3 linked regions of the Nothobranchius furzeri genome follow. The protein of the gene in region 1 interacts with the protein of each later gene in a pairwise test. Links are inferred from orthologs where the notes say so. Each region holds a gene or a part of one and is shown on either strand. Other genes may lie near its edges. The genes, in order: RNA-binding protein with serine-rich domain 1, srpk2 and srsf6a.

Evidence for each region.
Region 2: the proteins of RNA-binding protein with serine-rich domain 1 (region 1) and srpk2 interact in binary tests that used the Homo sapiens proteins (3 or more experiments, as listed by UniProt). The link is inferred for Nothobranchius furzeri from reciprocal best matches to the Homo sapiens genes RNPS1 and SRPK2.
Region 3: the proteins of RNA-binding protein with serine-rich domain 1 (region 1) and srsf6a interact in binary tests that used the Homo sapiens proteins (3 or more experiments, as listed by UniProt). The two-hybrid records come from large-scale screens. The link is inferred for Nothobranchius furzeri from reciprocal best matches to the Homo sapiens genes RNPS1 and SRSF6.

The regions. Positions count from the first base shown.
Region 1 is NC_091752.1:58,150,447-58,154,675, reverse strand, and holds RNA-binding protein with serine-rich domain 1, read right to left. Parts: upstream 2,835-4,229; 5' UTR 2,713-2,834; coding exon 2,711-2,712; intron 1,809-2,710; coding exon 1,659-1,808; intron 1,563-1,658; coding exon 1,383-1,562; intron 1,304-1,382; coding exon 1,198-1,303; intron 896-1,197; coding exon 742-895; intron 645-741; coding exon 503-644; intron 429-502; coding exon 323-428; 3' UTR 34-322; downstream 1-33. UniProt on the Homo sapiens protein: Part of pre- and post-splicing multiprotein mRNP complexes. Auxiliary component of the splicing-dependent multiprotein exon junction complex (EJC) deposited at splice junction on mRNAs.
Region 2 is NC_091744.1:58,288,762-58,292,316, forward strand, and holds part of srpk2 (SRSF protein kinase 2), read right to left. Parts: intron 3,006-3,555; coding exon 2,918-3,005; intron 2,705-2,917; coding exon 2,617-2,704; intron 2,522-2,616; coding exon 2,415-2,521; intron 1,627-2,414; coding exon 1,461-1,626; intron 1-1,460. UniProt on the Homo sapiens protein: Serine/arginine-rich protein-specific kinase which specifically phosphorylates its substrates at serine residues located in regions rich in arginine/serine dipeptides, known as RS domains and is involved in the phosphorylation of SR splicing factors and the regulation of splicing.
Region 3 is NC_091755.1:32,899,148-32,903,421, forward strand, and holds the start of srsf6a (serine and arginine rich splicing factor 6a), read left to right. Parts: upstream 1-1,458; 5' UTR 1,459-1,796; coding exon 1,797-1,903; intron 1,904-2,298; coding exon 2,299-2,465; intron 2,466-3,869; coding exon 3,870-4,042; intron 4,043-4,140; coding exon 4,141-4,274. Other genes in the region: eif2s2 (eukaryotic translation initiation factor 2 subunit 2), read left to right, coding at 66-241. UniProt on the Homo sapiens protein: Plays a role in constitutive splicing and modulates the selection of alternative splice sites. Plays a role in the alternative splicing of MAPT/Tau exon 10. Binds to alternative exons of TNC pre-mRNA and promotes the expression of alternatively spliced TNC.

The sequences.
Region 1 (4,229 bases):
TGAGACAAGAAGTTTAACTTGAACATTCAGAAATTCTGTTTCTGCATCTTTATTTTTTAAAAGTTAAAAGGACGTAATACAAGGTAAAAGGAAACAAAATGTTTGTAGATCCCGGTAGAGGCAACATAAAACTAAGCTAACTTTTCTGAATCAACTTAGCACAAAATTTAAGAAAAAATCAAATGGAACAGAAGCACTCTTGCTATGACCACACATACAGCGTAGATGATGGCATTTCTACTGAGTCAAAGGAGTCTGAGAAAACGAGGGTTGTAGCTGATCAGCATCACAGCGTAGAAAACCACATGACATCTGAATGAGTTTATCTGGAGGAGTTGGAGCTGGAGCGAGAGCGATGGCGCCGGCGACCAGGAGACCTGGAGCGGGAACGGCGACGTGCCGGGGATCGTCTCCTTGGAGAACGAGACCTGAAACAACAAAAACGGCATTATTACCTGTACACGTGTGTGTGTTTATGGCTGAAACTGTCTGTAGGCGATACCTCCTCCTCATGCGTGGTGGGCTGCGCCGCCACATAGGAGGTGGTGGGGGCATTCTGCGAGGAGGAGACAGTCTGCGAGGTGGTAGACGGATCCGTTGAGGCAGAACAGCAGCGGCTGTGATTTCCTGTCCGTCAATCTGACCTGTTTTTATAATAGTCATAAAAAATAATCAACACACAGAAAAGACCCCCAGTGTTCCTGAGACCCAGAGGCTGTTAAATTGAACATGCACACCAACCTCCGTCCATGTGTTTAAGGGCCTTCTGTGCCTCCTCAGGGGTCTCAAACTCCACATAAGCATGGCCCTTGCTCAGGTGTGGGTGCATCCTATCCATCTGCATGTCAATCATTTTGATTTTTCCATAAGTGGAAAAGATCTCCTGGATGTGATCCTGGTACAACAGAAATAGAAAGGTCAGATATTCTCTCAACTTTGACACAAAATTATCTTGATGCCAAACAAATAAAACAAACTCTTTATTTTCTCCTTTTTGTTTTGAGCAGAGCATTGCTGATGACTAACACACCCGATGCACACAAGAAAATCTTCTCAGATTTTATCTTTAATTACTACACATTAAGGATGTGCGTGGCTGTTCTTGTGCACTTACATAACCTTGAGATTGCATCATAGTCTCAAATAAAAGCAGACATGATGAGAAAGAGAAAGCAGATGTTCTTCATTTAAGCTAACCTTGGTAACGTTTCTGGTCAGCCTTCCTAAGTGAACCTTAGTGGGTTTGACAATCGGGCTTCGTTTCCTTCGCTCTTTGTCCTCTCCTCTCTTCTGTGTTTTAGACCTGAAAAATCAGAAAGCAGTAAATAAATAACTAGAAACCAAAAGTCATCGTAAACACTGAGACACGAACAAAGACTTACGGTGATCGGGAGCGCCGGCGGTTGTCATGGCGCCTGCGGCTGGGGCTCGGCGAGCCAGAGGAGCTGGAGGAGGATGACGATCGAGAGCTGGACGATCCAGATCGACTGGTGCCAGAAGAGCTGGATCCACTCGAGGAACCTGAGCTAGAACCAGAGCTGCTGCTGGATGATGAGCTAGATCTGGATCCGGTCACAATCAGAACAAATGAAATGGTTTGTTAGGAATTTTTAGCACAGATTTCTCTAGTGATATAACAAATGAGAAGGAACTCAGACCTGCTGCTGCTGCTGCTTCCAGAAGAGGCACTACGACGTTTCCTTACTTTGTCCCGTCCTCTCTCTTTGTCTCCTTCCTTGGTGGCAGTCTTCTCTTTGCCCCTATCTTTAGATTTTTCTTCCTCCTTCCTTTTCGTAGGAGATGGTGCCCTAAAGTGATGTAAACATCTGTTAGTTTAGTTGTTTTACACAAATGGATTTAACAAATCTAAGAGCTACAAATTGTGGGAATGTTCAAATTCATGCAGAATTCAAATCTGGGTCTAATCTGTAATCTCAACAAGCTGAAAATGAAACCCAAAAAGTGTATTTTGTGTTTTCTGTCAGTTAAAATGAAACACAAAGCAACATTTTAACTGTTGTGTTTAATCTTTAATGCTAAGGAATATTTCTTTAGTGTGATGCACTACCATTACTGTGGAATTACCACAGAACGCTAAGTTGTTATTCCAGCTGTTAAAACAACAGACTAGTCAATAAACTTCTGTCTCTTTGTTTAGAATAATTAAACCCCAGTAGGTTTATTTCCTTTTGTGCAACAAAGATTTTTATAATTTTATTTTCTTGAACATTTATCAAAACTACACTGATGTCTCAATTTTAAAATAAATCCCTTAATGTAAAAGCAACTGATAAAAAAAACTAATAACGTTTTTCTCCTAATATTACACAACTTATCTGGCACCAAAAATTCAAGCCGTAAGCTAGCTGAAAGAGACTAAACACGATATACATGATTTATAACTGAAATAAATAAAAACAATCCACATCACACATAGTTTAGGGAGCACCAAATGTCTGCTGGAAATCGTAAACATTTGTTATGTTATTATAGGAAAAAGCAGCACTCAGGCAGAAATCCGCCGCCAACGAGTTTCATTCAGCCCGCTGCCTCTAAACAAGGAGAGCTCCGACCATGCCGTTAACCGATCACTCAGCTCTTCACGCAACAAGCACACGACGGTAAAACACGCCTGGGTTTTCAGAGTTGATTAACTAAGCATCACAACTAAAAACGGACAGTTTTAAGCCAGGAAAGAGCTCAAACCTACATTTTTTATGGACGATGTAGCTCTGCTTCCACCACTTGCGGCCTGTTCGCTTGTCGACGGTTGATGACGCCAGCGGAAGTTGCGTTCCTGCTTGAGCGCCACTTACAACTCATTTGTTTATTTTACGACGTTGACGGTGAAATATCAGCTTGCATTTCCGACATCTCTGTAGAAACACAGACGGACGCGCTTTTGGATATGAAATGAGTTTGTCAAGTTTGAAACGGTGGTGGGGCTTCGCTGTTGTTGACAGAGAGAGAGAGGTACATTAATGACAGATGTTGTTGACAGCTAGCTCAGCTAGCATCTGTTTTCCTGTAGATATGTGTCCAATGTTGACATGTAGATGCGGTTTGAGCTGTTGCGTTGCTGTAGCGCATTACGCGTTAGGACAGTGTTAACAGCTGTCTTTAAGAAGACACAGATCACAGCCATTGACGGACTGCATCAATAAATTCATATTAATCTGTTTTCATTGAGAATGGAAGTTTTGGGGCTTGGTTTGTGTTTTGAAACGTTCACCGTTTGGATTTCTTTTTTAAGGATTCCGGAGTAAAAAGGTGAAATGATCATGCATCATGCCTGTAATTTCACCATGGTTTAACCAGGATTTATTAAGTGAGCTCATATCCACATGCGTGAAACAGCCTCATGCTTGTTTTATAAAAGATTAATTATTTGGTCTCCTGATTACTGGAGTTGATTATTTGTACCTTTCAAATAACCATGTTTAACTGAGGCATTAATGGTCCATCTATTTTCAAGAAACTCCTGAAGACCCTGCTCTTCAGAGAACATCTTCTAAACTAGCACCCTCCCTGCACCCATCCCCTCTCTACTGTCCACTCCTTGTTCTCCATGATTCATCATGCTGCCTCACTGCCACCAACTGACTGGAAATTGTTTGTTGTTGTTACTGTTGTTGTTAGCCTCAAGGGCAACATGCTGATTATCACTTGTAAGTCACTTTGGAATCCAAAGTTTGGACTAAAGCGTCTGCAAAATACATAAACATCTATCTATTTAAATGGATGATTAAAAAATATTTAACCTGAGGTTTTGTTGCAGCCATGTGACTGGATGCTACATACGGTATGTTGATTATACATGTTCATTTCTGAATCAAGTGTGAGCTGAAAGTAGATTTTTATTTGCAGAAACATTATTTCATTTAAAAAAACTTCACTTTTCCTAAAATCTGGTTTCAATACCTGCACAGCCCTAAAACCTACATTTATGTCCCATTCACTTGTGCTTGAGATCATGAAGTAAAACGTGTGTGTAGATATGCTGATGAAGGTTCTCAGTCATCCAGGTCATGGTAACCCAAAGGGTTCAGATGAAGGCAACTGGACTTCTTTAGTTTCTTGAAGACAATTTGCTTCTCATCTGAGGAGCTTTGTCAATTCTAACTGGAATATGGGAGAGTCAAGCTGTCTATTGTTATTTAACGAGCCAAAACTACTCTGGGTACCCGCTTCTCCATCCCCTGATGAGTCGTCAGCCTCTATTGGGAGGG
Region 2 (3,555 bases), on another chromosome or scaffold:
AGCTCGCAAGTAAACTTTTCCGCTGCCGTTCCGCACCGCTGACGCTTCCAGCATGAAATAGTGGTGGCTCTGGCCCTAAGGTACCCTAATGGAGTGTCAGGATTAGTATCTTCAACAAAAACCTGCTGCATCTAGTCCTGTACATGTCTGTCCTCAGATGGAGGATCTACAGGTGGTGTGGGTTTTATGTCTCTATTATTATATTGTTAAATGTATTAGTTGCAGTGTCTTTAACACATGCAGCATGATGAAAGATGGTGCACACGTTCATAAAACAAATGAAGGGAGACAGGTGAAGGTTAGGAGACTGGGACTGTTTAAATGTGGTCCTAATCTACTTTGGTCTTGGCTGACTCAGACTAGTTATGACCTCATCCGTGCTGTAGGAAGTAAATTGTTTCTCAGAACTGAGGCCCTTCTGGAAACCAACAAGTAAGATGGTGTTAAGATATAAATTTGACACAGGAACACTTTTCTTCACCTTTCATGCTCCAGCTTTAAACCCATTTTAGCCTGAACCTGTTAAATACCTGAGCGACTTTTGAAGGTTGAGTTTGTGTTTTATAAATGTAGCAATGCGAGGAGTTTAAGTGGTTACCCTGAAGCTGAAGCAGACTACCGGCTGATGTAAGTAACTGACAGCTTGTGGCGAGGTTCACCAAGAGGACAGGGTTCATGTAGAGTTTCTACAGACTTTCACTAAAAGACCTGATTCTTTCTTTTCTTCTGAACAGGAAGTTGGAGATAAGAGAGGAAAAGCAAGAGGAATTGGTTTCAAGTACCAGAGGGAAACATTAAAAGCTCATCTGTGCATTTATTTTCTGCACTAAACGCTTTACTAGTAAAGAGGGAAAGATAAGGAGTCATTAGGTGTTTGAAAGCATTAAATCATATTCAATTTAGGAATATGAGGTGGCTTCCTGCCATATTACAGTTGTCCCCACTTTGCAAACAAATCTAAATTATTTGATCTTAAACCCTCCCACTGTCCTAATGGGTGTGACCCCGCGAGAAAAGTGTACCACTGAGCAGGGTTGATGGTTCATCCCTTGGGTCCATGTGGCAGGGGTGAGGAGTGATGACCGCCTCACCCCTGCCACGTGGACCTCAAGGCATAAACCATCAACTCTGCTCAATGGTCAGCTTTCCTCGTGGGGTCACCCATAAAGACAGTGGGAGGGTTAGATAAGACTTTATTACTTTAAGGGTTTGTATTATTCTCCACAAACTTCACATTTTCAAGTGTTATCAATCAGACATTGCTATAACGGTTTTAATCTAAATACAGCTTTAAGACTACCTCTGAGGCGTTCAGCTGAATTAGAACACCAGAACAGACACATCATGCCTCTTTTGATTGAAATGAAACATTTAAGCATAAAAATTGTGTTTTTGCCTGTTGTGGTTCCTGTATTCAGCGTGACCTCCACTCCTCTGACTGTGTGTGTGTGTGTTGCTACCTGCTGATCCAGACGGCGGTGGGGCTCCAGCTTTCTGCCACTCCGTTGCCTCCATGGCCATCCGCCTCACAAACACGTCATCAACACACATCAGGATGTTCTCTGGCTTGATGTCTGTGTGAATGATTTTACATTTGGCGTGGAGGTAGTCCAGCCCCTGCAGGACCTGATGACAACACACATACATTTATCTATTTGGGTCAAAATTTGAGCTGGGCAATAAATCGAAAATGTATCATTATCAAAATTTCTGACTCTTAGAGATAATTTTTCCCATGTCGATAAAATTGATAATAAAAAAAATGAAAAGATGTGCGTAGGTTGGCAACGTCCATGTCCCTTTAAGAAGCTGCACCACCTTGAGTCATGTAAAAATGTGACAGCCCCACCTAGTGGAAAACTTTTGTTTCTACGCGTACCTTTAGTTATCGTCCGTTTATCGTCATCGAGGTGAAATCCTCGATATATCGTGATACTGATTTTAGGCCATGTCGCCCAGCCCTAGTCAAAATGAATACATCTTTCTGTTTGTGAGTTTCAGATTAACAAAAACAAAAATACCAATGTTTAAGGTCAACTGTTTTGGCTTTGGGACTGAGACAGAAACAAGATCATTCATTGTTCTGTTCTTCTCCAGCTCAGGTTGTGAGAGGCCAACAGTCGCTGAAAATACTCAGCGTCATCACATGCTGACCAGGTGGCTGATGGGTAAAAATCTCTGAGGCTCGTGTCTGAGAAAAGCAGCCATGCTTGAGTCTGAAGCAAACAAGTATCTGCTCTTCTTTCATTGGCCTGAGAATTATTAAATGGTCCACTGTACAAATAGAGGGACTCGTAAATTTTGGTTTTACAATCATGATTTGTCACTGCTCGACCAGAATATGGTTTTCACTCAGAATAAATAAACCATGATGTGTGTGTGTGTGTGTGTGTGTGTGTGTGTGTGTCAGTCACCTGTTTGATAATGCTCTTGACACACGGCAGCGGCAGACCTTGGTAGTTGGATTTAATGATCCATTTGAGCAGGTGATGACCCAGCACCTCGAACACCATACACACATCTGGGATGAGGAGTCAAGGACTCACATTATCATACGTCTCTGACACACAGAAACACACACAACCTCACCGATGAGCACATTTCTGATCAGGATACGTATGCCGTTGACCCCAGAGATCTTGAAGTCGTCAATCAGCTGAACCACCATGTCCTTGTTGGGATCACCGGGGTCGCTTTCTCTCACCTGGGGGGTGAAATCGTAGAGAAGATGAGGTGAGACAGGCTGGAGGAAGAAAAGATAAGCCACAAAGGAGTGGTGGTGCTGCGGGAGTGTGGGAAGACAAAAGAAAGGCTGCAGGAAGGATTCAGAGTGGCAGAAAAATGCAGGGAGTGTGATGAAAAGACCTGTTATAAGAACAAGATAGAAAAGGACAAAATCAACCAATCAGATTCTCACACATCGCAGCAGTTTGATCTCATCCAAGGCCGTTTCTGTGTAGTGCTGGGCGCTCTTCACCACCTTCATCGCCACAAAGTTCTTCACTCTGCAGTAAAAACACACGGCATTCATGTGACAGAATATATGATTGACCACATTAACCTGCGTCTGAGCTTGGCTGTCTTTCCCACAGACACTAGAGCAACAGTTGGATTTTTATCACACCACAAAAACTATTCTGACAGACCTCTTTCACACATTCATCCTTCTACTGCGGACTGACAGGACAGGAGATATCTGAGTAGCCAAAATGTCACAGTTAAAAAACGTTATAGTGTCTTGCTGTTTGTGTTTCAAACAAAAATGTAATGTTTGTGTCTTTGTTTCACTTATTTCTGCCAGAACTGGAACTAAGATTAATGAGTGTGGGAAATATGACTGTTGAATGAACTCAGAGCTGAACTGTCAGTCTAAAACGATGACGTTTCTTGTGTGGAAATGTTTTCATTCAACTTTACAAAAAACTGGAGAGATCATTGTTTACTGAAGGTCAGGCGCCAAACCCAGCAAGTATGTGAAGTTTATGATGACCCTAACCCCTTTAACAAGTCATCTGTAGATAATCCAAAGGGTTCTAATGAAGGCAACTGGACTTC
Region 3 (4,274 bases), on another chromosome or scaffold:
ATACGCTTTAGATTTGGACCTTGGTTGTTGTATTGCTACTGATACCAGTCTTCTCGCTCCTGCAGAGGAATACGTAACCTGTCACACCTGCCGCTCTCCAGAGACCATCCTGCAGAAGGACACTCGTCTATATTTCCTGCAGTGTGAGACGTGCCACTCCCGCTGCTCTGTTGCCAGCATCAAGACTGGCTTCCAGGCTGTGACGGGCAAGCGGGCGCAGCTCCGCGCCAAAGCCAACTAAAGGCCATGAAAAGTGGGCTCCCTCTCTCCAAAGCTGGGATCGGTCGCCCCCTCTGATTTAAATAAAAGGACTCTCTGAATCGAACTGCGGGAGGGTTTGGTTGTTTAGTGGTTGCAGCCTTTACAGGCAGGAAGTGAAAGAGGATCTAAGTCTAACTGAAGAGGTACAGATGCTGTAAGCAGATGACGTTCTCCAGATTTACTGTTGGATTGAATGCATTTGGTTGCGTGGCTGACAAACCCTCTGCCTCCCAGGTTTTTTTTTTTTTTTCTATTTTGCTGTGATTTAATCTCTTGAAGAAAACCCCACAGGTTGTCAGGTATTTTAGTTTTTTCATTTTACACATACCAGTCATGAAGACTAAAAACATGTTTCCGTATAGCTAGTCAGATTGCGTCAAGCTAAAAGAGTCCACATGAAGAAAGCTTAAATGCTTTAATTGTATCCATGGCCCCTACTTAATTCTCCAGCTCTTTGTTGCTAAACTAAAAATGATTTTTCTTGTCTAGCACAAACATTACATTTAGTGCTAAAGTTTCACAGACTTGCTTGTGGTTTTACAGTAAAATGTGTTGAGATCAAACCGTTGGGGCTCAAAAGGAGGAGGCCAAGGTTAAAATGGCTGATGTGAGGTGTAAAACAGAAATACAAACTGTTTTTGAGTGCTTTTGTAGTCTTGATTTCATAAAACCAGTGACAATATTTCTATCTTACTGATTTAATTAAAGCCACTTGGGAAAAAATATTTTTTGACATGAAAAGTAAGTTTTCTTTATCTAATGAAAGTGCCCCATCATTAAAAAAAAAATAATAAACTGGGTTGAATCTGTTTCCACCACAGTCTCTCCTGGATTACAAAAATGCAGTTCTATGATGGTTGTCATGTGATATTAGTTCAGCTTTTTTTTCTTTTGAGTATGGTCGCTAAGGTCTGATGAATCAATTTAAAATCTGGTTTTTACCTAAATAAAATATTCTACTTCATTACTTTTTCCCAGTTGTGTCCATGATGTGGTAGATACAGAGTTTTATGTGGAACCCAACCCAACATAATCTTGCTAGTTTATGTAGGTGTGCCAGTGTCTAATTCAAGGGGTCATTGTATTTTGGTTTAGAAGGGTTAAAATTTGAAATTTACTCATTAAAATTCATTATCCAACAATATAAATGCAAACATTGTTCATGTTGAAGCTGATATTAAATTAATTTCAAATTAAACAACCAAGTTTTTCTGTAATTTTAGCATTCATATGGTGGCCAGAAAAGGCACGAAAATTAATATAAATGACTAGGAAAAATAAGTTTATGATTCGACATTTTTCGTTTCTCTTTCTAAAACAATTTAAACTTGTCAAGTGGGGCTTTTATTTTGAAGTTCCATTACTGGTAACGTCATTCCGTTAACTTGACGCTGATTGGTTGGCTAAGTGCCTTAGTGCGCGAGCCGAAGCCTTCTTGAGGGGTGAGCTTGTAAAGTTAGCATCAGAAGCAGAACGCTACATCTTGTGATGACCGTACAATAACGACGTTTTTTTTTGTGGAAAAATATAACAAAATGCCTCGAGTTTATATTGGACGGTTGAGTTACCATGTCCGTGAGAAAGATATCCAGCGATTTTTCAGCGGTTATGGTAAATTAATGGAAATTGATTTGAAAAATGGGTGAGTTTTAAGTGAAATATCGAGTGTGAGGTTTAGCTTGCTAAAACGTTTCAGTAGCCAATGTTGCTCCAAGAGCTTTTAACCATTTATGCAATTTTGTTGTGATTCAGTAGAAAAATTGGTTTCCATATCAAATGTGCTAAAAGTATAGATGGTAATTTCTTGCTAGGTGTATCATGTTTAGGTTATTTTTAAGTTTCAATCCTGCCCGTGTAGCAAATGTCGCATGGCCAACATGGCGTCTTTGTATTTTCGATGATGCTAAGCTAACGTGGGCTTAGTGTGGGGCCGTATTTCTAGGCCTCATTTTTCAGTTGCACATTTTTTACGTTTTCATTGGGTCTTTAAATATATTTCATTATTTGTGTTTTTTACTGTGTTGTTTTATTTTGAAGGTATGGGTTCGTGGAGTTTGAGGACAACCGAGATGCCGACGATGCCGTGTACGAGCTGAACGGGAAGGAGCTGTGCGGAGAGCGGGTGATCGTTGAGCATGCCCGGGGGCCGCGCCGTGACCGAGACAGCTACAGCGGCGGTGGGGGTTACTGGGGTGGTGGACGCAGTAAGTACAATCCGTTATCATGTACCCAGTTTTCTTCATTAAGTACAAAAAACTCTGCCTTTACAGATTTCTAAGTTTTTACGCAGAACTGTGTTTTTTTATGAGGATTGACGTCACAATTCGAGTTAAGTTTAACATATGCAACATCACAAAGTAACACATTTTAGCTAAAGTTAAATGTCTAAATTGAAAATTTTTTGGTACCCTATCTCATCTGCAGTCAAGTACATGAAAACTATATTTTCACTCCTTTTTAACGAGATTTGGTCCCATCTCACCCAGGAACTCGAGAGCTGCTGTAAGATCTGACTGTAGGTTGCTGACCTGCAGGTTTTTGCTCTTCCTGGTTTCAGGCCATTTTGGATTGATTGCCTCTACCATCATCTGAATGAGCAAATAACTGCAAGTCAGAGGATTTATCAGTTAAGAAGTGTAGTAGAGAAAACATTAAGCGTAAATTTATTTATAATCAAAATGTGTTTACAAAGTTGCGTAAAATACTAAATACATTTTGATCGTGGCATACATAGCTAGTGTTAGGATGGTTAGGGCTAAACTAACATTTTCTGTGATTTGTGTATTGCTAACTTTGGCATATATTCATTATATATATTTTAAACATTAACAAAAGTCCTTGATGTTTTAATTTGAAAGAGTCCAGCTGCGGGCTGAGGCTGAGAGTCCATTGAGGCTAAAGATGACTGGCTAAGATGACTGCCTGTCCCGTTTGGCCTTGGCTTTCACCTTACAATGTGTGTGTGACCTTTGCCCCCCTCTTGATCCTTGGCTGACCTAACCGGAAGCCATGATGACAGCAGCCTTTTGCCAATAGACCAGGGGTGATGGTGAGGATTGCCATTGGTTTTTATGTTGACAGCAAACATGAGTGGATCGGCTCTAGTTAAAAACTTCCAGTCTAAAGAAATTTTGTAAGTGAAAAACTGGAATTTCAGACTGACGTCAGGTAAAATAAAGTATTAATATAAATGATAAGCACATCAGTCATTTTCAGTTTAATTGATGAATGTGGATGCCTCTTTTCTCTTTGTTACAGGATTCAGGGGTCTTAAAGAGCGTCAGTGTCCTTTTTGTTTTAAGCAGCTAAAGTTTCACAGTACTACACGATGAAATAACAGGCTTTGTATCGCCAAAAACACACAGTGGTGTACTCTGTAGCCGCAAGTCTCTTTATAAAGTGATCAGTACATACTTTTAGAGCCCTATGCAATAAAAATTGCTTATCTCGAGCTTTTTGGGGAAGATTGGGATTTGAAGGTCTTCTTTCATGAAGTTTTAACTTATTCCCTGTGGAGTTAGATTTTGTCTTTAATTTTATGTCCAGACCAGTGATTGTTTTTTTTTTTTTAAGCTTTTCTTAATTTTTGTGTTTTGTTATTTTCAAAGGTGGTGGTGGAGGAGGTGGTGGTGGTTATAGCAGCGGTGGCGGCGGCGGCGGTGGTGGCGGCGGCGGCAGCAGGAGCCGCACTGGTCGGGATAAATATGGACCTCCAGTTCGTACTGAGTACCGTCTTGTTGTGGAGAACTTGTCCAGTCGCTGTAGCTGGCAGGATCTCAAGGTACTTTTGACCAACCTGGGTCAGACAATCAGTGTTGACATTTTTTGCAACAATATGTGCATTAAAATGTACTTAATCGTTTATCTTGACTTAACCAGGACTTCATGCGTCAGGCGGGAGAGGTGACTTACGCAGACGCTCACAAGGAGCGCACCAATGAGGGAGTGATTGAGTTCAGGTCCTACTCTGACATGAAGAGGGCTATGGACAAGCTGGATGGTACAGACATCAA